Drosophila melanogaster: one gene and its partners. The protein of the gene in region 3 interacts with the protein of the main gene of each other region in a pairwise test. Each region holds a gene or a part of one and is shown on either strand. Other genes may lie near its edges. The genes, in order: Uba2, sip2 and Septin1.

What was found.
Region 1: the proteins of Septin1 (region 3) and Uba2 interact in a two-hybrid assay, tested with the Drosophila melanogaster proteins (one study listed by BioGRID).
Region 2: the proteins of Septin1 (region 3) and sip2 interact in a two-hybrid assay, tested with the Drosophila melanogaster proteins (one study listed by BioGRID).

What each region holds. Positions count from the first base shown.
Region 1 is NT_037436.4:8,122,368-8,132,341, forward strand, and holds Uba2 (Ubiquitin-like activating enzyme 2), read right to left. Parts: upstream 5,452-9,974; 5' UTR 5,338-5,451; coding exon 5,194-5,337; intron 5,140-5,193; coding exon 4,985-5,139; intron 4,932-4,984; coding exon 4,644-4,931; intron 4,588-4,643; coding exon 3,072-4,587; 3' UTR 2,960-3,071; downstream 1-2,959. Other genes in the region: ldbr (lariat debranching enzyme), read left to right, coding at 1-1,211; CG7550 (uncharacterized protein), read right to left, coding at 1,370-2,092; mRpL36 (mitochondrial ribosomal protein L36), read right to left, coding at 2,285-2,671; Cds (CDP-diacylglycerol synthase), read left to right, coding at 5,892-6,002, 6,717-6,841, 7,085-7,181, 7,247-7,423, 7,485-7,973, 8,058-8,189, 8,254-8,466; Setx (senataxin), read right to left, coding at 9,430-9,567, 9,630-9,974.
Region 2 is NT_033779.5:6,956,114-6,966,229, forward strand, and holds sip2 (septin interacting protein 2), read right to left. Parts: upstream 7,962-10,116; 5' UTR 7,826-7,961; intron 7,743-7,825; 5' UTR 7,705-7,742; coding exon 7,631-7,704; intron 7,564-7,630; exon of another isoform or gene 7,543-7,563; coding exon of another isoform or gene 7,520-7,542; exon of another isoform or gene 7,442-7,519; coding exon 5,782-7,441; intron 5,718-5,781; coding exon 5,478-5,717; 3' UTR 5,403-5,477; downstream 1-5,402. Other genes in the region: CG13775 (uncharacterized protein), read right to left, coding at 1-106, 505-759; CG3430 (uncharacterized protein), read left to right, coding at 985-2,174, 2,233-2,476, 2,543-2,926; Atac1 (Ada2a-containing complex component 1), read right to left, coding at 3,070-4,140; Hmgcl (3-Hydroxymethyl-3-methylglutaryl-CoA lyase), read left to right, coding at 4,330-4,374, 4,434-5,360; Coprox (coproporphyrinogen oxidase), read left to right, coding at 8,406-9,578.
Region 3 is NC_004354.4:21,354,674-21,365,862, forward strand, and holds Septin1 (septin 1), read left to right. Parts: upstream 1-3,612; 5' UTR 3,613-3,702; coding exon 3,703-3,720; intron 3,721-4,838; coding exon 4,839-5,031; intron 5,032-5,097; coding exon 5,098-5,356; intron 5,357-5,482; coding exon 5,483-5,848; intron 5,849-5,915; coding exon 5,916-6,165; 3' UTR 6,166-7,015; downstream 7,016-11,189. Other genes in the region: sol (small optic lobes), read left to right, coding at 1-1,395, 1,468-1,974, 2,034-2,300, 2,372-2,514, 2,584-2,761; waw (waclaw), read left to right, coding at 8,386-8,928, 8,987-10,534. UniProt on the Drosophila melanogaster protein: Involved in cytokinesis. May be involved in p53-dependent apoptosis.

The DNA of each region.
Region 1 (9,974 bases), on a different chromosome or scaffold from region 3:
TTTTGCGCGGCCATCACGAATTCCCTCCGTATACCGATTCCACGTGTCGCAGTGTCTACCATGTGCGGCAGCTAGAAGTCTTTCGGCTGAAACAAATTTCCGGGCGAGTTGATATTTTCCTGTCCCACGACTGGCCCACCGGCATCTATGAATACGGAAACAAGGCGCAACTGCTCCGCAAGAAACCATTTTTTGCTGCAGACATGGAAAGCGGGAAGCTGGGTAGCCAGCCACTGGAGGAGTTACTGAAAGCGGTCCAACCGGCCTACTGGTTTGCTGCCCATTTGCATTGCAAGTTTGCCGCTTTGGTGCCGCACAATCACAGCCAGAAGCTAGGAGATGCTGAATCTTCCTCTTCCAGCAGCAGCAGTGAAGATGAAGACGAGGAAAGGGAGAAGGTAAAGAAAGCTGCTCCTGTACCTCCACCATCCAAATCTGTTCCCGTGACCAAGTTTCTGGCTCTCGACAAATGCCTGCCACGTCGTGCTTTCCTGCAAGTGGTAGAGGTACCCAGTGACCCCATCGAAGGCACTCCCCGCCTGGAATACGACGCAGAGTGGCTAGCCATCTTGCACAGTACAAATCACTTGATTTCAGTGAAGGAGAATTATTATTACCTGCCCGGAAAAAAGGCGGGAGAGTTTACAGAGCGATCAAACTTTACCCCCACTGAAGAAGAACTAGAAGCAGTGACCGCAAAGTTTCAGAAACTTCAAGTCCCCGAGAACTTTGAGCGCACAGTGCCAGCTTTCGATCCCGCGGAGCAGTCTGATTATAAGCACATGTTTGTGGATCAACCCAAGGTTCAACTAAACCCCCAGAGCAATACGTTCTGTGCCACTCTGGGTATAGACGATCCGCTGTGCTTAGTTTTGTTGGCGAATGGCCTAGATCTGCCTGCGGTGGGAGCTACCGAATGCAAGGATAGGGAAACAAAAAGTTCTAAGCTGCAGGCGGTGGAAGAAGACGTGGCTGAACCATTGGTTACGCCAACTAAAAGGAAACTTAACTTATCCCTGCCAGCACCTACAACTGCAGCAGCTGATACCACCGATGAAAACGTGATAGACCTGCCCGAGGAGGAAGCTGAAGAAGCAATTATAGCAACGGAAACGCCTCATGTAGAGGAACCTGCATCAGTGCCCGCTAGTCCCAATGTGAAAAAACTTAAGCGACGCAATCAGAACATTTACCAAGCGCAAGAAGATTAAACCCAAACAAATTCCGTGAAAGCGGAGCGATTTATACAAAAAAAGGAGGCAATTTTATTTAAATAACACAGAAGATACTTGGCTGATACGATCAGCCAACGGTTGATTATGGGCAAATAAATAGGAGGGTGTTAGCTGCTGGGAAGCGAGATAACGACTCACTGTGTCCCGCTGGCATTATCGGCATAGACCTCGTCGGCGCACTGAAAAGCGGCCTGCATCACCGATTCGGGCGTGTCCACAACATCGCAATAGTATGTATCCGGTGATGGGATGCAGTGCAGCTGCACCTGGCTGCCCTCTGCCGTGGCGCGATAGAAGCGACACTGTCGCGGTCCATATGTTGGCATATCCGCATCGTATGGCGGACTAAGAATGTCGAAGAAAGCGGCTACGCCGCTACCAATTTGGGCAATCTGGTGGTAATTTCTCTTTCTAGGAGTCAATGTGGCACACGGACTAGCCGGCGTGACCAATTTGGGTTCCTCGACATTCACCTTCACCACTGTTTGATGGGGGTCATAGGTGAGCGGCTCATCCGGGCCTAACTGGTGCGAAAAGCTGTCCACCATTAGCTGACCCCAGATGCAGCGCAGCAGACCGAACATCATGGGGTGATCGTGCAAGGGAATAGTGCTCGCTCCGCGCACTATAAACAGGCTCATGGAGAAGCGATCATCCTCGAATATATGCATGTAGCTGCAGGGTGCCCGATGGCTTCCCACGTTGCGAAAGAGCTCCTCGCGGAGGTGCAGATCCCGGTAGGTCAGCTCATCCGTCAATTGACGCAGATGCTGCAAATTCGCATTGAAGCTGGCGTGATTTGCCCGGTCGAACGTTTTGAATGCCTGCCGCAGTACATTGCTGAAGTGCGTCGTCATCTTTTTCGGCCAGGTGTACTGAACTCCGGTCGGATACAGTAAAAAGCAAAACAGGCAAGAAACGACTGCGATATAAACAAACAATCAGCTGATACAGTGTTAGGAAACGTATCACGGACTACTTGGATTATTTTTCTTTTATTTATTTATGAACATATTTAAAGAAATGCTTTTATTAATGCCTAATTAGGTCTAATAGCCGCGCTCCTTGGATTGGGTGGCGTGCGTCAGGATCCACGACTTGTAGTCGCGCTTCTTCATCGACATCTGCTTGTGGCGTGGATGCGTGGGGCAGATGACATAACCGCGCTCCTGGCGCACCACGATGTAGCAGTCCTTGCAGCGTCGCTTCAGGCGTCCCTTGACCTTGAATCCCGCCACCTGCTGGACCAAAGTGGAGCCAGGCGTCAGCAGACCCGACGTCTGACAGATTCCAGTTGTGGCGGCCACAAGTTGCGAGCTTTGAATTGATACAATTGCAGGAGCCGCCGGCCGGGTGAGAAGGTGGAAACCACGCGCGGCACTGAGACCATTCCACAAGCGGGAACCTTGTTGCAGTATTCTACTAGCCAGGGACATCTGAAATTTGCATTTTCATTGAGATTTACAATGAAAATTTGTAGAACAGCTCACCTTTTTCTGTTTTGGATTGAACTGGTCAGAAACCGATAACAGGCACAATGACTTCCAGTGCTTCGCAGCACTGGTTGGCGTTAAAAAGTTATCGAATTAAAAATTTGACTAATTTTAAATGTTATTTTATATTTCTTTTATTTAATAAAATTACATTTCTCGCACTGGATTATTTGAATTTAATCGAGTAGAGCAAAACCAAACCCGTTCAAAGCACAAAAATTTAAAAATTTTATCATCCACAAAAATGTGTTTTTATTTTAAATCAGAATGAAATTACAGGGAATCAAGAGCATAATTTAGTGCGCAGTTGAGAACTTATTCGAATAAAAACTTCTTTTTTTTATTAATCGATACTGATGACTGCCACGGGGTTCGAATCGTCCAGGCGGGAACGTTTGCACTTGGTTGGTCCCGCGGGTTCGTCGTCAGACGACTCCAAAATCTCGGTGATATCCTCATCCTCGATTACTTCACATGGCTTGCGCTTGGAGCCCGATTTTGGGGGACTCTGCACAGAGAGCTTGTCTGTGGCCACGACAACAACATCTGCTTGGTCTTCGTCTTCCTCGATTACCAGACAGTCATCGTCATCTTCCTCAACCACTTCGTTGGGCCGGCTGCGCTTCGAAGTGGAGGGTCCATCGTCCTTTGAGTCTCCTTCCCCGTTGGTAGAACGCTTCTTAGCCGATTTCGGTTCATCCTCCTTGTCTTTCACGGCCTCCTTCTGATCCTCATCCTTTGGCTTCAGCTGTGAGGCATCTGCTACGACTTCGAACAAGTTTTCATCGCGCTCCGCATCGAAGTGGGAAATGATAATACTCAACTCGTAGTTCTGGAAGAAGTCGTCGCACTTGAGGATCACACCATCCACAATGTTTAATTCGCTTAGGAGCTTGCCGTCATTGCATTCGGTCTCGCCCTCCTCTGAGGAGATTAAAATGGAGCCATTGCTCTGCACAGTCACATCCGGATTCAACATGTTGAGCGTCTTAACCAGGACCTCGTCACGCAGCTCCTTTATACGCATGCGCTTCGTATCGATCTTGAGAGTAATGGCCGGATCGCTGGCGCATACATGGCAATTGGGATTGGGGCCAGGAAGAGAAGCGTCCGGTACAAGGAAGTGATTTCGTGCATTTGGTCTAAGTCGGGCATAGACGGCCTTGCACTGCTCCCACTTGGCCTCCAGCACTTTGAAAGCCCGCATCACGGAAATTCCCGCCGTAATCGCATTTGTGGTGGCAATAGCAGGAATAATGTTTCCCGCCATTGACTTAATCTCGAACCTTGACTTTCGCTCAATGTCGAAAATGTGGGATCGCACGTTGGCGCAGGCCGCCACGAAATCCATGGCTGGCTGGTCGTCCTTGTCCCAAGCCAGAGTATCGTCGCCTTCGAGTTTCAGGAAGTTAGCGCTCAACTCTTTTAATGAATTGGCAAAGACCTGAGCGCACTCCTCGATGGACCACACCTTGTGATGCTGCTTGGCCACATCCTTCTGATCACCGGAGGATCCTTCGGGCAGCAGGGTATCCCACTGCACGGGCACGGGTGCCTTGCGGGTCTTCCACAAATTCGACATACGCAACAAATAGGTAATGTCCTCGTTAAAGAACTTGTTGAACAGCTTGCCCGCATCATAGTTGCAGTCCTTGGCCCATTGGCGAGTATTAATGCGCATTATGTTGCCGTTGGCAGTATCCTCCTTGGCCTCCTTTTCCTCTTTTGACTCTTCGCCTTTTTCCTTCCCATCGCCTTTGGGCTCGCCATTTCCATCGCCGCCGTCTTTTTCTTTTGCATCGGGATCAGCAGCATCAGGAGAAATATCCTCATCTTCCAAGGACTCACCAAACAGTTGACTGCAAATAAATCAATAGATTTGCTGCAATTTAGACTAATTATTAGGTATACTCACTTAAAGAGATGCTTGGCCCAGACAATGCAGTGAATCGGTTCGGAGGGCGTATTGCGTATGGTGCAGCCCGGGAAGCTTCGCTGTTTGTCTTTTGGAGTGCACTCGTAGCACTGGGTGAGTCCACGCTTGATCAGTTCCACCTGGCCATTGTAGCCGGCGGTGCCGCTCTCGATCAGCGGGACATCCGCATTGAGGCACATGCGATTTACATGATTCCTGGCGGCCCTGTTGTCCAAGGCGCTGAGCACCAAATCGAACTTCTTAAAGAAGTTGACGCCATAATCAGTACTAAAAGGTATGTGTTGTTAGCAAGATGTAAAGGCAAAGCTATCCCAACTTACGATGTTACACTGTCGTGGTAAGCGGTTATCTTAGCGTCCGGATTGAAGCTCAGTGCGCTTTCCCTAGCCACCCGTGCCTTAGATTTTCCAACGTGCTCGCGATGGAATAGGAACTGTCGGTTCAAGTTGCTAAGATCAATTGTGTCCAGATCGATCTGGGTAACGTTTATAAATTAATAATATGGAATACTTTTTTCGAAAAAACTTACAATTTCGATGTCTGTAAAGCCGCTAAGCACAAGGTTTTTGAGCACCTCGCAGCCGATTCCGCCGGCGCCCACGACCAGCACCTTGGACTTCTTTACCAGCTCCTGCAATGTGGGTGGGAAAACACCATTGATAGCTGCTGCCATTTTCTGAATTTACGTTTTCCTTTTTCTTATTTTTGGCGAGAAAATTGCAAAATTGCGATACGGAAAAGCCGAGAAAAGTGACGCCGCCGGTGCAGGTGTTGGGAAACGTATAAAGCTACGGATATTCTCTACCAGGGATGGCTGATATGGGTGACTCTTATTATCACTTAAATTAACTTTTCTAGTATTATTAATATATTTTATTTTACATATTACGACAAAAGTCACCGTTAATTGCACAGAAAAAGAAAGTTCTTTTAAAAGACATCAAACATTTTCTGTCCGAAAAGTCAACTTGTAAAACCTAACAGCAATTGAGCATACTTGCCAACACTTTTGCTCCACCAGCCCACTTTGCGCAAGCTGGGCACACTGCATGCTGGGCTAATCAGAAATAGAGAAAAGCATTTTAATTCGGACGAAGTCGACATACGGATCACGCAGCACGGGTCACGGCAAACGGCAAACGCGGAGAGCGGAACACGGACGAGAACTGCTCAAGCGGAATCAATAGGAATCAATACATTGTGAATAGATCTGGCGAACATCGAATAATGGCCGAAGTGCGACGCAGGAAGGGCGAGGATGAGCCACTGGAGGACACGGCCATCTCCGGATCTGACGCAGCCAATAAGCGCAACTCCGCCGCCGACTCCTCGGACCATGTAAGTAGCAATGACTTGTATGTGGAGCAGCCGAGCGGCAGCTGTTCCGGACACCAATTTGCATAATTCTTGGAGCATAGAAAAGCCAATGTGTGTATACCAACAAATGTGTGTGGCTATGTGTTTTTGTTATTCTCTGACGCACAAGCAGGTGGGAGAAAGAAGAGAGAGCTCTCTCCTGGAGAAAATCCAATAACAAACACAAAACACACCACTAGCCAGCCAGCCTGCCTGCCACCCAACCACCCACCTGCTGTGTTGCAATATAGCGCCATTATGACCAGCAAATCCAATTAGATGGACTACGCCAATTAGGGAAGCACTGGGCCAAGAACCCAGAGCCGAAACCATTACCATGACCAGACTCCCTTTCTGGCTTGGACTTTTTTTGTTATTGCTGGGTGATAATGCCTCCTTATCAACCAAGCTATTTGGCAACAAAACACGCCACCCAAAAAAACCCGCAATTTTTCTCCCCACTTGGTTCCCCTCTCTATTTTATGTGCCTGTGTATTGGATAAACGAGTGATTCTGATTATGGGTATATAGGCACATACATACACGTATCATGGACTTTGCTCGGCGTCGTCCAATAGAAAGTATTTAAACCCTGCACTCCGGTCGTATCGAATCTGATAGGAAACCTACTTTGCAGTCCCAGCCAATGCAATCAATAAGTGAATTTTCCCTTTCCCTTGCTCCTCCTCCTGCCAGGTGGACTCCGAGGAAGAGAAGATTCCCGAGGAGAAGTTCGTCGACGAACTGGCCAAGAATCTGCCGCAGGGAACCGACAAAACGCCCGAGATATTGGACTCGGCCCTCAAGGATCTGCCGGATAGGTATGTGAAACAAATCCATATGCGTAGTTGGGATCTTTAAAGATCATGATGAATAGCTAAAGGTCGATTTGGAATTGATGATTCAAAAAATATTTTATTGAAGTGCGAATTTTATAAATCCGACAGAATGAGTATGAGTGCGTTCCAAAAATAATCCATATCCACAGCTGTCTACAGTTGGCGAGCAAATATTAAAAGTAAATATGTACAATTACAAACAATTATTTTTTGCGCATTCCACAGATGGAAGAACTGGGTGATTCGCGGCATCTTCACATGGATTATGATCTGCGGCTTCGCATTGATCATCTATGGTGGACCGCTGGCCTTGATGATCACGGTAGGTTTAATGGAATTCGCTTAAACGAGTCTTCAAATAATCGTTGTCCTACTTTCTCTTTGCAGACGTTACTGGTGCAGGTGAAGTGCTTCCAGGAGATCATCTCGATTGGCTACCAGGTTTATCGAATTCATGGCTTGCCCTGGTTCCGAAGCCTTTCCTGGTATTTCCTGCTTACCTCAAATTACTTCTTTTACGGAGAGAATCTGGTAGACTACTTTGGCGTTGTAATTAATCGGGTGGTCAGTAAATAATACAATAACCTGATTATATCGCCTGGTAAATATGCAATTTCATCTACAGGAATATCTGAAGTTCCTGGTGACCTATCACCGGTTCCTTTCCTTCGCCCTGTACATCATCGGGTTCGTTTGGTTCGTGCTCTCACTGGTGAAGAAGTATTACATCAAACAATTCAGCCTGTTTGCCTGGACCCATGTATCCCTGCTGATTGTCGTCACCCAGAGTTACCTCATCATACAGAATATATTTGAGGGGCTCATTTGGTTCATCGTACCTGTTTCGATGATAGTGTGCAATGATGTCATGGCGTACGTGTTCGGTTTCTTCTTTGGGCGCACTCCCCTCATCAAGCTCAGCCCCAAGAAGACCTGGGAGGGCTTCATCGGGGGTGGCTTCGCCACCGTCCTCTTTGGCATTCTGTTCTCGTATGTGCTGTGCAACTACCAGTACTTTATCTGTCCCATCCAGTACTCGGAGGAACAGGGACGCATGACAATGTCCTGTGTGCCAAGCTATTTGTTCACGCCCCAGGAATACAGCCTTAAATTGGTAAGTGATAATGTATTTCTATGGAGTTATGGGTTACCGATTTGTTGTGCTGATAGCTACAGTAATAATTTTTTTCATTTCCAGTTTGGCATTGGCAAGACTCTAAATCTTTACCCCTTTATCTGGCACTCGATCTCCCTGAGCCTGTTTAGTTCCATTATTGGACCCTTTGGTGGCTTCTTTGCCTCTGGATTTAAGAGAGCTTTCAAAATTAAGGTAAGTAATCTTTTCGGAACACAGGTCTTTTCAATGTAACGCAACACACCATCTTGTTTTGCAGGACTTTGGCGACATGATACCCGGACATGGCGGCATTATGGATCGTTTCGATTGTCAGTTTCTTATGGCGACCTTCGTTAACGTTTATATATCCAGCTTCATCAGAACTCCGTCGCCGGCTAAGCTGCTGACACAGATTTACAACCTTAAGCCAGATCAACAATACCAAATTTATCAGTCCCTCAAGGACAACTTGGGCGACATGTTAACCTAAACTTGATCGGTTACCAGTAAGATTCGGACAAGACGTTTGCTGAGTCGTACGTTCTATATGTAATGCAGAAATTTCTATATATATACATTGATATATATCTGTAAGCAAACGGGCCGGCAGTTTGAGCAGCCACATAAAATAAGTTAATTACGGGCATAATTTTTGTTATGTTATTAGTCCTTAGTTAGATTTTGTTGCTACATTTTAGTTAAATTCTTAAGTTAGTTTTTATTTTATCTTGCATTAAGTTATTGCGATTGTTTTATTTGGCAGAACTCTACACAGTGCAATCGTATTGTTAAGCGATTCCATTAATTTTAATGCCCTCGTGACAAGGCGTCAAGGCAAGGCAAACAGAATAACTATGAATTTAATATCGACTATGTGTGTGTGCGTGTTGTTAGTGAATTTAATTACGATAACTATAGCTTAGAGATGATCAGGCAGACAACGCCAGAATCTGGAGATTAGCATAATTAAAGCGCATTTTAGTTAAATACCTGAGGGACGAAATTATGAGATCAAGATACCAGGAAAACTCTTGCAATGCTGTAATTCTATATATAATAGTGCAATATGCAGACGTTAAATAATTGATTTAACCATTTCAATATTTATTTATTTACTTTTATTCGGTCATACACTACGCCATGCATAGTGCAACATCCTCAACCCGTGAATCTTTCTCAAAAAGTACATAGATGATATATAATCGGTTACTTATAAATCCTGTTATACTGTACGGCATTTAAGAACGAAAATGCAATTCGTCGGCGTTTTAAAGAACTAAATGTACAAAGATTTCAATATTAAATCTTACAGTCTCTATGTTAAATATATATAAAAATAACAAAGCCTTTTTTTAAACAATGTGGGAAGCGCTTCTCTTCCATGGCACTTGTGATATCTTAGCATCTAAAAGGTAGTTTTAATCTCATTAACTAATAGGGAACGTTGTGTCCCCTAAATTAAGTTGATAGTATTCACCATCATCTTTTTGATTAAGGAACGGTCTAGGTCGTTCACATCATCGCGGTCCAAATTGAAGTAAACTTTCCTCTTGCGAGCATCATCGAGAAGGTTGCGCCACATTTCAACAGACTACAAAATTAAGAAAAGTTCATAAAAAACATGTTTTATTTCAATTAAATCTGGATACTGACTTTTAGATCTTCAAAATTGCCACATATGACTAGACAACGACGCGGTCTGGTCAGCGCCACATTAAGTCGCTGATAGTTCGTTAGAAAGCCACAGCCGCGTGTCCTGGCATTTGAAATTATTATCACATCCTTTTCCAATCCTTGATACGAGTCCACAGTCTGAGGAGTTATATTCATGTGACTGGGAATAACCTGGCTTAGCGCGTAACACTGGTTTTGGTACGGCGAAATTAATCCATAGCTAAATCGCTTGCTGGGCATATGTTTGTCCATTTCTGTCAGAAGTTTGGCCACAAAACGAGCCTCCTCGTTATTGCTGATACTCTTGTTTTGGGCGCCATTGCT
Region 2 (10,116 bases), on a different chromosome or scaffold from region 3:
CTTCAATGAACTCAAAGGAGTGATTTAGTAGCATGAGGGCCAACTTCTCATCACAGCGTTTGCTGTAGGATATATCCTCGGTGTCCAATGGATCTGAATCTGTTTCCTAAAATGATTAATAGAATAATTTAATGCATCAGATTAGTGAAAAACGCATAATTTATAAAAATATAATACTAAGACCATAACAGTACATTTTTAAAACCTCCTTAACTACACTTTATAAACACAACACATGTTTGCCGATCTAGCCAAACGCGGATAAAAATCCGCATCCGCTGTTGCTATATTAGTAAAAAGTTTTAAATAAGAGAAGGCATAAATTACTTTATGAACTACCAAAGAAACTATATTTGAATGGAAACTTAAGTTTGGGGAAACCATCTCCACATGACAGAATATCTAGAAGGGCATGTACCCCGATTTCACATAAGGTACACTTCTTGCACAGTACATATGCATGTACATAGGTATGTATGCACATCTATATGCTATCCCACTTACGTGCAGATTCAATTCTAGCTGGGCTGTGGGGTGCTGTGGCGAACCGATGGAGATCTCGCTCTTAACCAGGTCCAGGTACTTTATGTCCCCGGATAGAGATAGGAACTCCGGTGGGTGCTTGCTCTTCAGATGATTCCGCAGACATGTTGTGCCGCGTCCTCGCCTCGAGTAGTTCCTGTTGCACAGCAGACAGGTGGCCACTGTGCCGGATGTCTTGTAGAAGTACTGCCACACATTGCTTTTCTTCTTGCTCATCGCTGCAATTCTTTGGTAATTCTCAAATTGTACATTTTTTGCGGATGTCCACATCCGCCTCTACATCCGTTCTGCGGCAGAGTTCGACATCCCTGGCAGATATCGATAGGCCCATCGATGACCATCACTAATATGCTGCAATCAGTTTTTGGCGCGCCAAAGCAGCTGTTGTTTTTTGCATTCGAGGTTTTTGAGGCATTTGCAAATTCATTCGTTAACTAGATAATGCCCTGTGCGATGGAGCTGCCCAGCACGCCCGATGAACTGGCCGCCCAGCAAGCGGACAGCGCTGCACTCAAGGACTTGCTCAAGGATCCCAGTCGTTGGCACTCGATTCCCCTGCTCAACTACACGCCTCTTCACAAGCTGAAGGATCAGACTCTGGTGCGCTTTCGTGGAATGATCCAGGACATGATGGACCCAGAAATCTATCTGGAGCGCTACGAAGTGAAATCCGCCGACGGCAGCAAACGTGTACAGGAAGGAAAGTACAGGGACTGCTTGAAAATAGCCAATGGCGAAGTGATTGACTACAACGCCGATGGAAACGTGCATGGAGAGAGGCGTACCATGTTCGTGGTCTCTGTGCCTGGTCTGAACGATTGGAGCAAGGAGCATGAGAAGCTGTGCTGTCCCCAGATCGATTTGGCCAGTCTGGGTCAATCTCCCAGTTCAGCCAAGAAGCGGACTATTGTAGGCGAAGAAGAAGCCATGGATGTGGACGTTGCGAGCGAAACAACGTTCAAGCGACCCTGCCTAAAAGAGATTCAAAAAGATAGCGAGCCAGTCGGCGCCTCCAAATCCTCTGTTCTTGGGTCTGATTACCTGATTAACTCGCCTCTGCCGGATCGTCCCAGCATGGCATGCATGGTAAAGGTTTACGAGGAGTTCGATACCTACCAGCTTAACTCGCTGGTCGACTTTGTGGGCTTTCTGTCAGTGGATGCTTCACTAGACGCCGCTACCCTGGAAATAGACGATTGTGAAAACTTGAGTGAACTGCAGGCAGCTCATCCATCGCCATTTCTTATACCCCGCCTGCATGCCTTCGGAGTCCAGGTGCTGCCGCATGCCAATCCGCTGCTGGACAAAAGCCTTCGACAGCCAACGGAAATATGTGAGGAGACGTATCCAACCCACCTTGCTGTGCACAAAGATCTGCGCATGCTTCTTAAACTCTGCCTCTTTGATGACGATCTGGCTGCCGAGTATTTGCTCTCCCACCTAATATCTACGGTCTACAGTCGTTCTGAGATGCAGAGCATCGGCAAGTTCGCCCTTAACCTTTGTAATCTCCCTAAGAATTGTGAGGCGTATGCAACCAAGTTGTATCAAATTCTGGAGCTGCTACTGCCGGCCAGCCATTACATGCCCATGACTCTCGTCACACTAAACACGGCAGCCTTTGCCCCAAAGTAAGTTGGCTAAGCAGAAATAGTATAAAATTGAATACCTATTAATGAGTACTTGCAGGAAGGATTATGAGACAAACAAGCTGGTTTCCGGCGTACTACAGTTGGCTCCCCATACGCATTTGGTGCTCGACGAGACGTGCATGCAACAGGGCAAGCTGGAGGCCAATGGTGTTCATGCCGTTCAGCATTTAGCGCACTTGATCAATAATCAGGAACTGAAGTGCGACTTTCAGTATTACCAAATAGACTACCAAGCAAATATTCCAGTTCTCGTGCTCAGTGAAGGGCGAAGTATGTTGCCGGTAAGAATATAAGTTTATATAAATAATCATTATATCCAATAGAAACTATTAATGATATGTTTTCAGAGCGATTTTGTGCTGCCCATTAATGCCGATTCTAAGGCCGTGGAACTTGTTGATGAATCTCTAAAGGCAGCCCACCACTATCTGCAGCCATCACGTCTGCAGCAGTTTCGCAAGTACTTGACCACAGCGCGCACTAGCGGCTTCAACGTGAGCGAGGAGCACACTGAAATGATCCAGCAGGATTTCGTGGACATGCGTAAAGCTAATGTCAAAAGTAATGCCGATGATCTGCATGGATTGCTGGTCCTCTCACGGCTGCTGGGCATCGCCCGGGGGAAGGATACGTTGGACAAAGAAACATGGCAGCTGGCTACGGAGTTCGAAGCAAAGCGTCGCCAGCGTATTCAATCTCTGCCGAAATCATCTGCCCAATTGCGCAATTAAGAGGGCCTCTCTTTTATACCATTTAATATTAAGTTTTTATAAATAAAATAGAATTTTTTAAAATTATTCTCTTTATATTTAATTTGTAGCTTTACAGGCAAGTCTAGTAATTTAGTACTCAAGTAAATGGGACTCTAGGAGCGTCATGACTCTTGGTCCACTACAACTTCATGACTTAAATGCTCGAAACGCCCTTCGATTAGCTGACTGGCCAGGCAATCTCCGCACAGATTAAGGTAACAATAACAACTGTTACAACGCCATTGGGTCCTGGTCACAGATGCCTCTTCGCACTCGGCACACTTGGCGGCCAGCAAGTCTGGCTCATATCCGTCCTCCATTTCCCGTTTCTCGTCCTGAATGGCTGATAGAAGCTTAAGGCATAGTTCCTGTTTTCGCTTTGACTCCGCATTCAGATCGGCATCCATGTACTCGGATTCGATCTTTGGTTCGATCTTGGATGCCGGCATAAGGAGCATATCGCTCGCAGGCGATGGGATTCGCAGGTCGTCAAATGTGAAATCGTCCTCTGGCATTTGTAGCGATATATTATGAGCGGGGAAGAAGGTTGACTTGCGAAGTTTGATCTTCGGCTTACTCAAACCAGGACGTCGATGCTTGGGTATGCGACCGGGCACAGGCATTCCGGCATCGTGCAGCTTTTGGAAATACTTCTGGACACGACTATACACTTGCTGTGCCGTTCTGTTGCCCAAGGCCTTCGCTATCTTCCCGAATCTGCGCATTTCCACTTCCTCTGGCGGATACTGGATGAGCAGCTGCTCCAAGCGACTCTGCTCTTCGTTGGTCCACAAGCGATTGAAATTCTCCGACCGTCCATTGCTCCTGTCCCGATTCTTGTTCGCCTCTTGCGTCCATGAAGACGCATCGGTCGGTGTCTCATTTGTGCCCCCTTCCTCGTCATTGGGCGACAGAGTTGGCAAGTCCGGTAGAACGGTCGTGGTGATGTAATTATCCGCTATCAAAGGCTCGTTGTTTCGCAGTTTGTCCAGCATATGTTGCGGATTCTCCAAGTAGATATTTTGTGTGGCTTCCAATTCCTCAATCTGCTGATGCACCCGAATCCTTTGTGCCTGCAGCACGGCCAAAGTGCGCAGCAAATTGGTATAGCACTGGTTGCCACGCAGGGCCAGGTGCTCGGTCTCAAAGTGAAACACATCCTCATCTTCTGCAGATATCTCTGCTATTTCCATTACAAAGAATTAGCACCAAATACCCGTTTGTATACAAAAAATGTGTTTACGCCTCTGCGCTAGAGATGGCAGCTCATTAAGCAAAACAGTTATCGAAATTTAGCAACATATCGATCTTGGATCATTATCAGCTGTTATCAGCGAAAAAAGAAGAAGCGGAATACGTAACGTTTATTTACAAATTTAGCAATGATAAGTGCACCAATTCGCTCTATCCTTGCACTTACAGCAAAGGTAATTTCACGGAAAATCGAACGCACTTGACAATATTTTAATAATTTTAAAACTAACAGCGCACGGCGGTTACAAGCGCGGCCAATCAGGTGCGAATTGTGGAGGTTGGACCGCGGGATGGTCTTCAAAACGAGCCCAAACTCCTGCCGGCAGCCACCAAGATCGAGCTGATCAACCAATTGTCCGAAACAGGACTGCGAACCATAGAAGCCACCAGCTTTGTGAGCGCCAAATGGGTGCCACAGATGGGCGACAATGCCGAAGTGCTGAAAGGAATCCGCAAAGTGACTGGTATAAGCTATCCAGTCCTCACGCCTAATCTGAAGGGATTCGAGAGTGCTCTGGAGGCGGGAGCCGAGGAGGTGGCAGTCTTTGGAGCCGCATCTGATGCGTTTTCGCTGAAGAACGTTAATTGCACGGCAGCTGAGGCCATCGAACGATTTAAACCTGTGCTGAAAGCAGCCCAAAAGCATGGTGTGCGCGTCCGGGGCTACGTTTCCACCGTGGTTGGCTGCCCGTACGAGGGTGCTGTTGCGCCGAGTGCTGTCGTCAAAGTGGTGGAAGCCCTGTACCAAATGGGCTGCTATGAGATCTCATTGGGCGACACCATTGGTGTGGGCACTCCAGGCACAATGCGCCGAATGCTGGATGAGGTGACCAAGGTCGTCCCGGCTAAAGATCTGGCCGTGCACTGCCACGACACTTATGGTCAGGCTCTGAGCAACATACTGGTCTCACTGGACTATGGCATTCGGGTGGTGGACTCTTCCGTTTCTGGCTTGGGCGGATGTCCTTACGCCAAGGGGGCGTCAGGCAACGCAGCCACCGAGGATGTGGTCTACTTACTGCACGGCATGGGCCTCGATACTGGCGTCAACCTAGACAAACTGATCCAAGTGGGGCGGTACATCTGCACCGAACTGGGCAGAACCTCAGAGTCCAAGGTTAATCGAGCGTGGAAGGGACCGCAGGCGCGAGTTAAGTGATGATGCAAGCATTGATACTATCAAACGAAAACGAAGGCATTTACTAGCACTAGTTACACAATACATTTATTATCGTTGCAATATTTAGTCAAGGAGCGTGAAGTACTTTTATGGGCCTTAAAACTTTTGGGCATCTCTTATTGTGTATAAGGACACGTCGCCTGAGGCGAGCGACAGATCAGCCAGGCTGTGATTGGCGCGTCGTGGGATATGCGAAGACGACGGATTGCGGACTGCCTCGCCGGGCATTTTCATTTTGCCATCGTGGCGCATAACAGTAGGCTCCACGGCGGAGTTGAGGTATTTTTGAATTTGAGGTACCTTCGGCATGGGCAAAGGAGTTCGTTCATCAACCACCTGTTCAATGGAAGGTATTAGTTTACGTTCACTCATCATGGCTTATATATAAATTTAAACTTACATGCTTGATTTCGGAAGATATGTAAGCCTTTTTGGGAAGCAGATCAGCGGCTGAATCGATTCCATTGATAATTAAAGATTCCGCTTCACTGGACTTGGGTGTTTCGTCCTTTGTTGCGAAAAGTGCTTTAGGATGACACAAGCGAGACTCCTGCTCCAACTCACTGATGGCCAGTGTAGATAGCATATCAGAACTCGTTGGACGGAATGTACTCATTAGCGGAGCAGTACCAGACTTCTGGGTGTAGGTGCGTATGGGACTGACTATGTTGGCGTATGGCTGCTTTATCTGATTTTGGCGACGCTGAGGAATACCAGAGGCTGCACTGAAAAATTTCTTTTTGGTCCACTCCATGGTGAGGCCGACATTGAGCGGCTTTCTACCCGTGCTAGATGAACCTACAACTGTTTGTGGCTGATTAGATGACCGCAGCGGAATTGATGGCTGCAAAAAGGCTACAGCCGGTGATTTTGGTTCCGGCTTCGGTGAAACAACGAACGTGCTTTGTTTGGTCTTGGGCAGCACAGGGCAATCTGCCTTGACTGCGGCGACTGAAGGAGCCCCACCTGCCATGTACTCCATACCCTTTTGCATCATGTACTCCATTTCTTCCATGGTATCATTGAAATGCAACGAATTTTCCTTATTTTCAACGCTCTTCTCCGCTGGTTTCTGCTCAGTGTGATCTTTTCCGTGGACTGAGGACACACGGGACGTGTCTTCTTGTTTTACTTCTGGAACTAGCTGCACTTCTTCATCGTCAGAAGAGGATAGCTCGATTATTGTATCCTCTATATCGTCCTCTTCCTCCTCGACCTCATCCTTCGGAAGTGAGGCCAGCTCTCTAAGACTGCCATGAAGATCGCTTAAGAGCTCCAGCTCCTCTCCCTTGGACATTCCTGGTGGCTTGGCCTTGGCAATTGCGGCGTAAAACAATTCGTCGACGTTTAGGAGCGTTCCACTGAGGGAAGTATCCGTGGCTGTTTCGTAAGAACTAGATGCATTTGTCTTTAGGGTGCGAGCGCTTTGGAAGCTTGTGTGTGAAGACACATCAGACGACTCCAGTTCGCTGTCTTCGATGATGGTTGAGGGGCGAAGCAGCCCCACCATTTTGACAGGCGAAACCTTGGTCAATGCTTTAGGAGTCAGCCCAGAGTCGGATGAGGTCTCGTCCATTCCGGCCAGGGTGTTGTCCCAAAAGCGCGACGGCGCCTCAATGTCCTCCAGGTGAGTGCACTCCGCCCCCTTGACGGGACTTTCGTTCTCCAATAGATCGTCTTCTGTACCCACTGCCTCTAGCATGCGACGCAGTGCATCGATCTCTTTCTGATCGTCGGTGCTATGATCCCTAGCCCTGGCCATCACCTGACTCCGGTCCTCGCTGTGCAGGTACTGGAAAAGAGTGCTATCCGGATCGGAACCGGTTTTGTCGCACATGCGCTCAAAGGCACTGAAGCTATCATCGCCATCGTCCAAGTGCTCCAAGTCACCTGCCTCGTACATAGTATCCTCGCCGAGATTAACAGTCCTTTGACTGGCAGAATTAACGGCCAGAACTTTCTTGGCCCGCGCCTCCAAGGGTCTCCTCAAATCCTCGTCGATCTCCAAACTATAGCGCATATCCTTCGTTTCGTCCATTTTCACGGGCTTTTTCGGCAAGCTGAAAAAGGAAAACTGTTATTAGTTTTCTCAACTAAATTGTATGTGTGTCTAAACTGTCCAAACTATTTATGCGTACTGTTTCTCTAACAATTTTGACATGCAGGTGGCTTGTTTGAAAGTAAATGACTACAAATTCATCGAACACTAGTGCAACACTATCCAAGGATGGGTTTCAATGTGTATTTACCGCTCGGTCATTAGAAACTGACGGAGTTTCTGACGCCATTCCTCAGTGTTTTGGAATTTCTTGAGGCCAGACATCGTGAGTGTGCGAGTGTGCGTGTGTCCTGGGTGCAAAACTCCAGTCGACGGGATAAACACGTATAATTGCGCGTTGACTATAGTTCAGAGGATTTAGAGTTCGCTCCAGTCGATCACCTACCTTCTGGCAATAGTATTCACGCAGATCTTCCTTAATCTTCAAGGCGCACACGCAAATATTTCATGGATTTCTTCACAGCACGCTCATTTGCCAACGATCGACGCGCCTTTGCAGTCGTTTATTTCAAATGCCACGACAGAGTGCCCGTATTGCGCTTATATTTTTGAATGGGGTATTCCAATGGACACTACACATATACATCATCGGAGTTATATCACTTATAACAAATAATAATATAAAATTAAGACAAATATGTCTACCATTAAAAGCAATTGTACTGCTCCGTAACTTTTAACATATATTATTTATTATTATTATTTTGTGTATATATACAGACATATTGAGCTAGCTAGTGTTCTTAACAATATATAATATTTTTATAAGAACGTTACAACTTCTTGTATCTCTGTAAATAGAACAAAATCGCGAGCCCCCTATTTTCGGTATATTTTGGTGATATCACGGTCACACCGGCGACTATGCAACTAGAAATGCCGGGTCAGTGAAAGATAACAAACAAACTGCGTTCGGCGAAAGTACTTAAGTTAAGTTAAAAATTTGAAGTAGGCGAGAGCACATAATGAACGCACTCCGTCACACGATATCCCTGGTATCGCTGGGCACCTTTCAACTGGTGCGCCGGACCAGGGGGCCGCACGCCAGAGGCTTTCTCCTCGGCACGGGATTGGGCCTGGCCAGCTTTTCGGCGGTCACGTACGCACATTCCGCGGAGGCTGTCGACCCAAAGGTCAACGGGGTGCAGATGAACACCTCGCGGTTCATGGCCGAGCCCATCACCGACTCCAAGGCACTGCTGGGGGACAAGGAGAACATGCGTCATCGCATGGAGATCCTGATCATGGAGATCCAGGCGGAGTTTTGCCGCGCCCTGGAGGCGGAGGAGAACTGTGGCCAGAAGTTCAAGGTGGACCGGTGGGAGCGGCCTGAGGGCGGAGGCGGCATCACTTGCGTCCTGCAGGATGGCGATGTGTTCGAGAAGGCAGGCGTCAATATATCCGTGGTCACCGGTTCGTTGCCCCCGGCTGCAGTACAACAGATGCGGGCTCGCGGCAAGAATCTGAAGGAGGGCGCCTCGTTGCCGTTCTTTGCCAGCGGTGTGAGTGCCGTGATCCATCCGAGGAATCCCCATGTCCCCACCATTCACTTCAACTATCGTTATTTTGAAGTGGAAACTGCCAAGGGGGAGAAGCAGTGGTGGTTTGGTGGCGGCACGGATCTGACGCCCTATTACCTCTGCGAGAAGGACGCCTCCCACTTCCACCAGACGCTGAAGTCCGCCTGCGATGAGCACGATCCCACCTACTACCCGCGCTTTAAGAAGTGGTGCGACGACTACTTCCGCATCAAGCATCGCAACGAGAGCCGCGGCATTGGCGGAATCTTTTTCGACGACATCGATTCGCCCAACCAGGAGGCGGCCTTCAACTTTGTGTCAAGCTGCGCCAGGGCCGTGATTCCCTCCTACGTGCCGCTGGTACGAAAGCACAAAAATCGGGAGTATGGCAACAACGAACGACAGTGGCAATTGCTGCGCCGCGGGCGCTACGTGGAGTTCAATTTGATCTACGATCGTGGCACCAAGTTCGGTCTATACACGCCTGGAGCCCGGTACGAGAGCATCCTGATGTCCCTGCCCCTGCACGCCCGCTGGGAGTACATGCACGAGCCCAAGTCCCAGTCCGAGGAGGGCAAACTGATGAAGGTCCTGAAGAACCCCAAGGATTGGGTCTAAGCTATTTTTAATTGTTCTTAAGAGGGAACCGGTGCCTTTTGCATTATATTTAAAACTTAATGTGTACATATTGTAATTGTTGTTGCAAATAAACATGACAAAATGTTATTGTTTCCTAACTATTTATCCATATTTGAAAAACTAGTTTATTCCATTCAACATACAGTATACATTGGCAAATAATACTATAAATTGGACTCAACAAGTAAAATTAAATACATAATGTTAATGAATTTTAATTTTATTACGAGTTATGAAATTCATCTATGAAATGCAACAAAGTATGAACAAACTCAATAGACTTCGACTTTGACTCATTACTTTGCTTCTCAATACATAATTAAAGGGCCTGGAAAATAAATGTTTTACAATATAAAGTATATATGTATGGTGCTGAGTCATGGTGAGACAGCAAAAAATCTATAAGAAAAATTTCGGAAATTTTTACCCAATACCAATATTAAAAATGAACACATATACATATACATATACAGCCGGTCTAATATAACAGGACCTGTCGACATGACTTCATGTATGC
Region 3 (11,189 bases):
AGTGCCTGCAAGTCCCACCGCCAGCCGCAGCTCTCGATGGCCATGGAGGCGGTACGGGAGCGACCGGATGGTCAGTCGTACGAGGAGCAGGATGCTGCAGCCGTCGGGGGCGGAGGAGGCAGTGCCCACCAATCGGGCGCCAATGAGGTCAAGGCGCCTACAGCCTTGAACCTACCGCTAACTTCGGTGGCGTTGCCCATGCCCATGCTGCAGCTTCCAACGTCAACAGCGGCTGGTCTGCGCGGCTCACGCAGTCCCTCGCCCAGGATGCAGCTGCTGCCATCACTCCAGCAGCAGAGGAACTCCAGCTCATCGGGCGCTATACCTAAACGTCACAGCACCGGCGGCTCCATTGTGCCACGGAACATTTCCATCGCTGGTCTGGCCAATTACAATTTGCAGCAGGGCCAGGGAGTCGGCTCCGCATCGGTAGTGTCTGCTTCTGGAGCTGGATCTGGAGCTGGAGCTGTCGGAGCCAGTACCAGCACAAAGAAGTGGCAGTGTCCCGCGTGCACGTACGATAACTGTGCCGCTTCCGTCGTTTGTGACATCTGCTCGAGTCCGCGCGGCCTGGCGAGCGCAGTTTTGGGCGAGGCGTTGGGCAGAAAGTCCGTTCGAGTTGCCCTCACACCGGCAGATATTCGGCAGGAGAGCAAGCTGATGGAGAACCTTCGCCAGCTGGAGGAGACCGAAGCGTTGACCAAGTGGCAAAACATCATACAGTACTGTCGCGACAATAGCGAGCTTTTCGTGGACGATTCGTTTCCGCCGGCGCCGAAGAGTCTGTACTACAATCCGGCGAGCGGAGCAGGCGAGGGAAATCCTGTGGTGCAGTGGCGACGGCCGCACGAGATTAACTGCGACGGCGGAGCGTATCCACCGTGGGCTGTGTTCCGCACCCCGCTGCCCTCGGACATCTGCCAGGGCGTCTTGGGCAACTGCTGGCTACTCAGTGCGCTGGCGGTGCTGGCGGAGCGCGAAGATCTGGTCAAGGAGGTGCTGGTCACGAAGGAGATATGTGGCCAGGGCGCATACCAGGTGCGCCTCTGCAAAGACGGCAAGTGGACGACGGTGCTGGTGGATGATCTGCTGCCATGCGACAAGCGTGGCCATCTGGTTTATTCGCAGGCCAAGCGCAAGCAGCTATGGGTGCCGCTGATCGAGAAGGCTGTGGCCAAGATCCACGGCTGCTACGAGGCGCTGGTCTCGGGCCGGGCGATCGAGGGACTGGCCACGCTGACAGGAGCGCCTTGCGAGAGCATTCCACTACAGGCCAGTAGCTTGCCCATGCCCAGCGAGGACGAACTGGACAAGGACCTGATATGGGCCCAGCTGCTGAGCTCTCGATGCGTACGATTCCTCATGGGCGCCAGCTGTGGCGGTGGCAACATGAAGGTGGGTTCTGCGTTATTACAAAGTCTTCTTCTATTTCATATGCTTATGCTCAATTATCAACATCAACCAAAGGTGGACGAGGAGGAGTACCAGCAGAAGGGGCTGCGCCCGCGACACGCCTACTCGGTGCTGGACGTGAAGGACATCCAGGGACATCGCCTGCTCAAGCTACGCAATCCGTGGGGTCACTATTCGTGGCGTGGCGATTGGTCGGATGACTCCTCGCTGTGGACGGACGATCTTCGGGATGCTCTGATGCCGCACGGCGCCAGCGAGGGCGTCTTCTGGATCTCGTTCGAGGATGTGCTTAACTACTTCGACTGCATCGATATCTGCAAGGTGCGCTCCGGCTGGAACGAGGTGCGTCTGCAGGGGACATTGCAGCCCCTGTGCTCCATCTCCTGTGTGCTGCTCACCGTGCTGGAGCCGACGGAGGCGGAGTTTACCCTATTCCAGGAGGGGCAGCGCAACTCGGAGAAGTCGCAGCGATCGCAGCTGGACCTGTGCGTTGTGATATTCCGCACCCGGTCTCCGGCGGCGCCGGAAATCGGTCGATTAGTGGAGCACAGCAAGCGTCAGGTGGGTGCTTCCCATAGCCCTGCAAATAGAAACGCTTCTAACAATTGCGTTCCATTTAGGTGCGAGGCTTTGTGGGATGCCACAAGATGCTGGAGCGGGACATTTACCTGCTTGTGTGTCTGGCCTTCAACCATTGGCACACGGGCATCGAGGATCCCCACCAGTATCCTCAATGCATCCTAGCGATACACAGCTCCAAGCGTCTGCTGGTGGAGCAGATAAGTCCCTCGCCGCATCTCCTGGCCGACGCTATCATTAGCCTGACCCTAACCAAGGGACAGCGGCACGAGGGGCGCGAGGGGATGACCGCCTACTATCTGACCAAGGCAAGTGATCCGGTTGCGAAGGGATCTAGGGATTCGGTGGCCTTACTAACTCGACCGCATTTCCTTTACAGGGCTGGGCGGGTCTGGTTGTGATGGTGGAAAATAGACATGAGAATAAGTGGATCCATGTGAAATGTGATTGCCAGGAGAGCTACAATGTGGTGTCGACACGCGGCGAACTCAAGACAGTGGACTCTGTGCCCCCGCTGCAGAGGTGGGCTCCCAATCGACCACCTAAAATATTCCCCCAACTAATTGCTTAACGTGTGCTTAACGCTTTCAGACAAGTAATCATCGTTCTCACCCAACTAGAGGGCAGTGGCGGCTTCAGCATCGCCCACCGGCTGACCCATCGTCTGGCGAATTCCCGCGGCCTGCACGACTGGGGGCCACCCGGCGCCACCCACTGCCCGCCCATCGAGAATGTCCATGGACTGCACGCTCCGCGGCTAATCACCTAGAATGGGATAGGGATAGGGATGGATGGCAGTGACGCAATTTCGATGCTACCCCGCGATATGTCGCTGTTCGAATCCTGATTTGCATGCGTCTCCTCTCAATTCTACCCGTCTTCTAGTCGATGTTCTGTTAACGAATCACACATTACAGCGAAAAACCCAAAGTTGAAACCAATCAGCATGCGAAACAATTCATATATATGTGTATAGAGCCGTGCAGATATGATATATGTATGTGTTTATGCACTAAGGCGTATCGGAAAGTGGGAGCAGATCCCCGGTGGGGATACGGCAGAGCCCAGAAGCCCCAGTCCGGAGTCCTAAGGCTAAGGCTCGGCACGATTCGCTTGAGATCCAATGATCTGTGTTTTGATTAGAGCGGCTATGATTGTGGATTATATAGATATGTATTGTGAATTTAAGTGCATCCAATATTAATATGTGTATTGTTTTAAAAATAAAGACTACAAGTTATAAAAGCCACCAATGTGTAAACAATTTCAAATGTGTACGCGCGAATTGGAAAACGATTCAATCAAAATATACCTTACGATACACAATAGATGGCGCCAGGAGATATTCGACATGGTATCTACATAAGATGTTATCTACTGTCAAAAACGCTACGAACTAAATCGTAAATATAGTCCGGGCTTAAATTTCCGATTAATAAAGTGAAATCATAAAAATATAGTCATGATATAATATAAACCATATAAAACCATAATAATTAAATAACTTATTAAATATGGTTACGTTCAACCAGATTTTCAAAAGAAATACCAGCTTGATCTTGTTCAGACGGTCGTCATTTTTGTTTTGCCGCCGAACTGGTCCCACTGGCAGCAGGATTTGCCAGTTGCGCGCTGCGGTCACACTAGTTGCCCTGCTATTTTGTTCGTCATTACGTTGATTTCTTCGTTCGTTTCGTGTTTTTTTTTAAAATGGCCGATACAAAGGGCGTGAGTAGCCGCTGTTCACTTGTCCAAATGCTAATGGCCAACGGCCAGTCCCCCAACGAACTCGATCCGCCGCCAACTGGGCGTGGCGTGCCATCCACTCCTGGTTGCCAGTGCATCAAATGCCGAATGCGGCGCTCCTGTTGATTTGTTTGCCGCTCATCTCGCCGCGCCAGTTCATCGGACACTCCTCCTGCACCGCCCTTTGTCCACTCGGTGGGAGCGGGCATTGCTGAGCGGGAGTGGAGAAGGAAGTGGAAGTAGAAGTCAAGTGATTCACAACATGCCGGTGGCGTCGGCGTTGTTCCTTTGTTCCCGGGACCTCTGCCGCCCTCGCGAAGCAACTTCGGCCGCCCGTGACCCACATGGCAGTGCATTCTGGTGCACGGAGAAATGAGTGCCGTGCCCATAGTTTGGGCGCCCAAGAGAAAACTGATCCGCGCGTGATGGGCATGCAAATCAAGCCAAGCCATCGCTTTCTAAGACCCAAAACCCTAACTACCAGACATTAGCTCAACCCAACTGAGTTGGGTTACGAGTTAATAAGGCATATGGAATACTTTCAATCACTTGTCCATTTTGGGTCATATCCTTGAACCCATTTCTTAACTCAACTCAACTTTCTCTTCATGAGATGCAAGTTTTTACTATTCCCAAAAGTGTTTTACCGAGAAACATAGTTCCAATTAATTGGTAGATAAATTGATCGACCGCAGATATATGTACAATATTACTATGATTTATCGTCAGTCTGCATTGCATGGTTTTATAGCTTAATCAGCATAGGCTGACCCACTTAATTATTCGCATATGTATTCATATGTATAGAACACAATGCACGGCACATTTAGTTAATATGCAATTCGTTAAGATTATAATTTCCATATGCAAAAAAGTCCACATTTGTTTCGCCTTTAAACGTTCCAGAAATAGTGCTGATATTGAACTGAGTAATTCTTGGTTTTGCAAGCAATGTTTGATTGTTTACCTGTTCTGAAATTAAAGGCATTACCTATCTAGTAGATTCTCAGAAAGTTTCTAATATTAATTATTTTTATTTATATATGAAGCCTAGGACTTTTGGTTCTCTATACTAATGTTATTCACCTATTCTCGTGCAGTTTTCCAGCATCGAGACGCCCGGCTATGTGGGCTTCGCCAACCTGCCCAACCAGGTGCATCGAAAGTCCGTGAAAAAGGGATTCGAGTTCACCCTAATGGTGGTGGGCGAGTCCGGACTGGGCAAGTCCACGCTGGTCAATAGTCTCTTTCTCACCGATCTCTATCCCGAGCGCATTATTCCGGACGCCATAGGTGGGCATAGTCTTTCGTCATCACTCGCTTTGATTACTCATCCAGGAAACCATTCCCCTCTTGCAGAGAAACAAAAGCAAACCGTAAAGCTGGAGGCATCGACGGTGGAGATCGAGGAGCGCGGCGTCAAGCTAAGATTGACGGTGGTGGACACACCCGGATTCGGCGATGCCATCGACAACTCCAACAGCTTTGGTGCCATACTCGAGTACATCGATGAGCAATACGAGCGCTTCCTGCGCGACGAGAGCGGCCTGAACAGACGCAACATTGTGGACAATCGCATTCACTGCTGTTTCTACTTTATATCGCCGTTCGGTCATGGGTGCGTTCCTTTTCCGTTTAACTTTTGAACATTTAATATTAAAAATAAGGAGTTCAAAGCTCAGTAGTGTTGCAAATTGTATAATAGAAAGTATAAACGAAGTATCACATCAATTTTTGTACCCAGCCTAAAACCCCTGGACGTAGAGTTCATGAAGAAGCTGCACTCTAAAGTTAACATTGTGCCCGTGATCGCAAAGGCCGATTGTCTCACAAAGAAGGAGATCCTGCGCCTGAAGTGCCGCATTATGCAGGAGATCGAGAGCCACGGCATCAAGATCTACCCACTGCCAGACTGTGATTCCGATGAGGACGAGGACTACAAGGAGCAGGTGAAGCAACTTAAGGAAGCTGTGCCTTTCGCCGTCTGCGGCGCCAACACACTGCTCGAGGTCAAGGGCAAGAAGGTGCGCGGTCGTCTGTATCCATGGGGCGTGGTCGAGGTAGAGAATCCCGATCACTGCGACTTCATCAAGCTGCGCACGATGCTCATGTAAGTGAAGCAAATATTCCAATATCTGATTGCTTATTAACTAACCACCTATCCCGCTGCCCCACAGCACCCACATGCAGGACCTGCAGGAGGTCACGCAGGAGGTGCACTACGAAAACTACCGCTCCGACCGCCTCGCCAAGGGCATCAAGGGCAAGGAGAACGGCGTGAAGGCCGAGCGGGACAGCAGCTCGCAGGTGGTGTCGAACAGCGTGCTCGGCGAGAAGGACCGCATCCTGCAAGAGAAGGAGGCCGAGCTGCGGCGCATGCAGGAGATGCTCGCCCAGATGCAGGCGCGCATGCAGGCCCAGCAGTGAGCAGGCGGGTATATCTTTTATATACGCGCTTGGCGGAGGCGGCAATCTCTAGTTATACACAAGTCGTATATATACACATATACAAAACATATATTTTGTACGCAGATTTTGGTTGCGATCGCGCTTTAATTCTACTCTCAATTGTGAAACGACGGGCGCTAAGTATTCTGTATTAATTTCGCATTCTCCATATATATATATCCGTAGTATCTAGATATACACACCACATACATTTATACACACATCTAACTTACACCTGCCGCGTATGCAAATGCCTGCAATGCAATTGCTTCATCAGAAAAACAAAGAACATAAGGAACACCAACCATCAGCGAACTCATATCACTTCTATCAAGCGAAACCACACACGAAAACAATTGTATTCCTATTATGTATTTAGACGCGATTAACAATGAATTATTATTGTAATACGCATCTAGGCTAAGCGAATCCAATCCGATTTATATTGTATGTTAATTCATTTTTGTCTGTTTACCTTACCCTTATCTGTGTTGTCTCAAAGCGAGCAATTTATTTAGGTTATACTATATGTTGCGTGTCAGCCTGCCCTTCCGATCCTTCTTGACCTCCATGGTCCGCTGTCCTGCAGTGCCGCCCGATTCCTAAGCACGATCTGATTGAATAAACAGTGATCCCTTCCTAGGCGGTCCCGGGAACCCATGGCCAGTTGCGGAAACTCGGTTTAGCAGGCTACTCGCTTAAAAGTGCACTCCTTTAACGGATGAAACAAAAACCAAAATGTGAAATCTCTTTTATTATGTATATGAAGACTTTTTTAACTCAATATAATCCTCTATGAATATATAAATATGCTTTTTATACAATTTGTAAGCCAGACCGTCTTATGCATTTTCTTGTAGTCTCCCATTTACTCAAAGTGTAAGGGGGCATACTATTTGTATTCTTGAGGAGATCACTAGCCGACTCCATCCAGTTACATATGTATGTACATATATGTACGTCTGTCCGTATGAGCGTCAATATCTCGGAAACTTTAACAAGCCGAATGTTCCAACTGCCAAGCCCATTTGTTTGTTTGATAAGTTTACTTTTGTTGTATTTCAATAACAATAGTTAGGCATTCATATCCTTTAGATACATTTGCAGTTGTGTTCGCCTGATGCCTGGCAAAATCTTAACCTTTTAGACACTTTTCACAACTGCTTGTCTTGCTTTTTTAGAGCGAAACCAAAATGCTCATTCAACGTATGCATTCGAAAACACAAGCAAGCACAAGAGTAACATTGCGAGATTTCACTATCAGCTTTTCCAATCACATTGGCATTATTGTTAGTAGAACAAAAGTTTTACTTGTACATATTTGTCAAGCGTTCGTCGAAAGAGCTTAAGGATCCTCACAACCTCAAGTATCCCTAGTTCAACCCATACTTGAGTATTGTCCGTGTGTATGGTCTCCTCAACACGTCTAGCATCAAGGTCTTGTGGAATCGGTACAGGGACACAGCCAGGATAATCCCTACCATCCCATCAATCATTCTCATGAAAAGAAGACTTATTTTTTCGAGACGAAAACGATCTCTATGTTGGATACATATTTTAGACGGAAGCAGTATCGGGTTTCAGATTGTAGAAGATGATGTGTGGGTAAGGTTAAAAAACCAAGAAAGAGATCGAAAAATAAGAGCAAAGTCAGTTGCAATCTGAGAATGGTTCGATCTCGACCTGAGTATGCTGAGCATGATTCGATCTTGGCTAGATTTTGAGATCGAAGTTCTTAAATCGAGATCGTTGAGAACGGCTTTTTCTCTGACTGTGCTGAGGTCAAACCCCCTTTTTCTGGAACCAGCAGTTCCTCCAGCTCCCTTGCTGGTCTATTACAATTACCATTTACCATTGTAAGCTGTTCCAAGAAAAGAACCTCGGCTTCTAGAAATCGAATCTCGCAGCGATGACTTCCTCACGAAAGCAGTTGAAAAAACAGAATATTTATGATATATAGCTCAATATTTCGGACTTTCTTACTTGTTTATTTATGAATATAAACCTATAGGCAATCTGAGATCTAGGAGCATTACGATCTTTCGCTTAAGAATATGTTTAATTTGCATCCGAGAACAAATTAGTAAAGGATTATTGAGTTGTAAATATTTGTTCATGTGTAAACATCGGTTTTCGTAGATTGCCAACAGATGGCGCTGTTTGTCACAAGATGGACAGTATTTTCCTGCTGTCTTACACATGATTGTCGGCTACTCGGTATTTTTTCATCATACGGTCACACGGCGCACATGGTGTGCGGTAACAATTTTTTTTTGCCGGCAAAGAAATGTAAATTCAGCCATGATTCGTGCGATTTCAATCCGTTGGCTGCTGCAGCGCCCGGGGGACAAACGACACTCCGCCTGGCTGGTGGCCAGGTCAAAGAGCTTACTCGTCCGCAACCTGAGCACCACCAATCAGGTCAAGGGCGAAACGGAGGAGCCCTCGCAGGCGGATCTGTTGCGCGAGTTTGCCCACATGCCGGTGGAGCGCATTCGGAACTTCAGCATCATTGCGCATGTCGATCACGGCAAGAGCACGCTGGCTGACCGGTTGCTGGAGCTCACGGGAGCCATTGCGCGTAATGGCGGGCAGCACCAGGTACTGGACAACCTGCAGGTGGAGCGGGAGCGTGGGATCACGGTCAAGGCCCAGACCGCATCGATCTTCCACCGTCACAAGGGACAGCTCTATCTGCTGAACCTCATTGACACTCCTGGTCACGTGGATTTTTCCAATGAAGTGTGTTTCATGTCAAAAGTCTGCTAATTCTTCTGCTAATCATTTGCCCATTACCCAGGTTTCGCGATCTCTGGCTGCCTGCGACGGCGTGGTACTCCTGGTGGACGCATGCCATGGTGTCCAGGCTCAAACCGTGGCCAACTATCACTTAGCCAAGCAGCGTCAGTTGGCAGTGGTTCCCGTGCTCAACAAGATAGACATCAAGCATGCAAACCCTGATCAGGTTTGTCAGGATCTAAAGCTGCTGTTTGGCATAGATCCGGACGAGGTGCTGCGCGTGTCCGCCAAGCTGGGCACCGGCGTATCTGAAGTCTTAGAAAGGGTCATAGAAACTGTGCCGCCACCACAAGTTCAACGGGACAGCGACTTTCGGGCCCTAATCTTCGACAGCTGGTTCGACAAGTATCGCGGAGCCCTTAATCTAATTTATGTGCTGAATGGCAAGCTAGAGCAGAATCAGGATATTCAGTCGCTAGCCACCAAGAAGGTGTATTCCGTCAAGAGCATCTCTGTGTTGAGACCAGCCGAGTGTCCTGTTCCGGATGTATCCGCTGGTCAAGTGGGCTTGATTGCTTGCAATATGCGCAACAGCAAGGAATCCATTGTGGGCGATACCATTCACCTGAAGAACCAAGCAGTCGCCGCCGCAGGAAGCTATCGACCGCAACAGCCGCTTGTTTTTGCTGGAGTTTTTCCCGCCGACCAGTCAAAACATGTCGCCCTGCGCAGTGCCATCGACAAAATGGTACTCAATGACTCAGCGGTAACTGTAAAAATTGATTCCAGCCCAGCTTTGGGACAAGGTTGGCGTTTGGGCTTCCTGGGACTTCTGCACATGGAGGTCTTCTGTCAGCGCCTGGAGCAGGAGCATGGCGCTGAGCCCATAATCACCGCGCCTTCCGTCACATATCGTTTGGTCTTGAGTAATCCAAAGATGATCAAGCAACAGGGTCGCGATACAATGGACATTTCCAATGCAGCCCTCTTCCCGGAACCGCATTCCATCAAGGAGTACTATGAGCCCTTGGTTTTGGGCACAATCATCACGCCCACGGAGTATGTTGGCCAGGTGATCAGCCTGTGTGTGGAGCGTCGGGGATTGCAGCAAAGCTCGGTGAACATCGACGACACCCGTGTGCTAATGAAGTACGTACTGCCGTTAAGCGAGATCATCCTGGACTTCCACGACCGCCTCAAGTCGTTAAGTTCTGGCTACGCCAGTTTCAGCTACGAGGACCACGGCTATCATCCATCGCACTTGGTTCGATTGGACATCCATCTGAACGGCAAGCCCGTGGAGGAGCTCTGCCGCATTGTCCATGTGTCCAAGGCCACGGGCGTGGCACGGCAGATGGTTCTCAAACTCCGGGAGCTTATTCCAAAGCAGATGGTACAGATCGCAATCCAGGCATGCGTGGGCAGCAAGGTGCTAGCGCGCGAGACCATCAAGGCCTATCGCAAGGATGTGACAGCCAAGCTTTATGGTGGGGATGTCACCCGGCGGATGAAGCTGCTCAAGCAGCAGGCCGAGGGCAAGAAGAAGATGCGCATGTTCGCCAACATCCGCGTTCCTCACGAGACCTTCATCAATGTGCTCAAGCGGTAGGATCAATCCCGACCAGAACATCGCTTCTCAAAGCTATTTGTGGACAATTTAGGTGAGTGATTGTTGCCATTCCAAAAATGGGCACCTAATATTTCAATTAATAGTAGTTGGACAGTAATGCTAGGAATAGCTTGTACTATTCAGTCAACTGATAACCTTAAAGTGGATTTTTGGGTCTCTCCAATCCATACTTTATTAAACAACAAACAACATTGTGGTGTTCTTTTCCCTAATTTAAATGGAAATATTTGACAAAAGCCTACATATTTAGTATCGTTTAAAAAATACTTGAGGGTGCGGCTGTCGCTTATCATTATGTACCCTTCAACCGCCCCCATTTTCCTCCCGAGTTTCCGCGGCTTGTGCGATACGTCTTATCATTGTTTGGCTCTTGGTCGCAAATAGAATAATTATTCCGTCTTATGATAATGTACTCGCGGAATTGGGCGCGGTTGTGGAACGCCCCTTTTTCAAAGTTCATTAACATTAGAAACTAGACTAAAACTAGCACAAAGCTAACCAAGAGGTAGCGCAGTGAGAGTGGGGAGTGTTTGTCGCAGCCAATCGATATTAATTCTTTTATATTTTTATAAATAAATGATCTGGTAGATTCGTTGTCGTCCGTATAAACGTCCTGATCTCTGAAACTACAGGA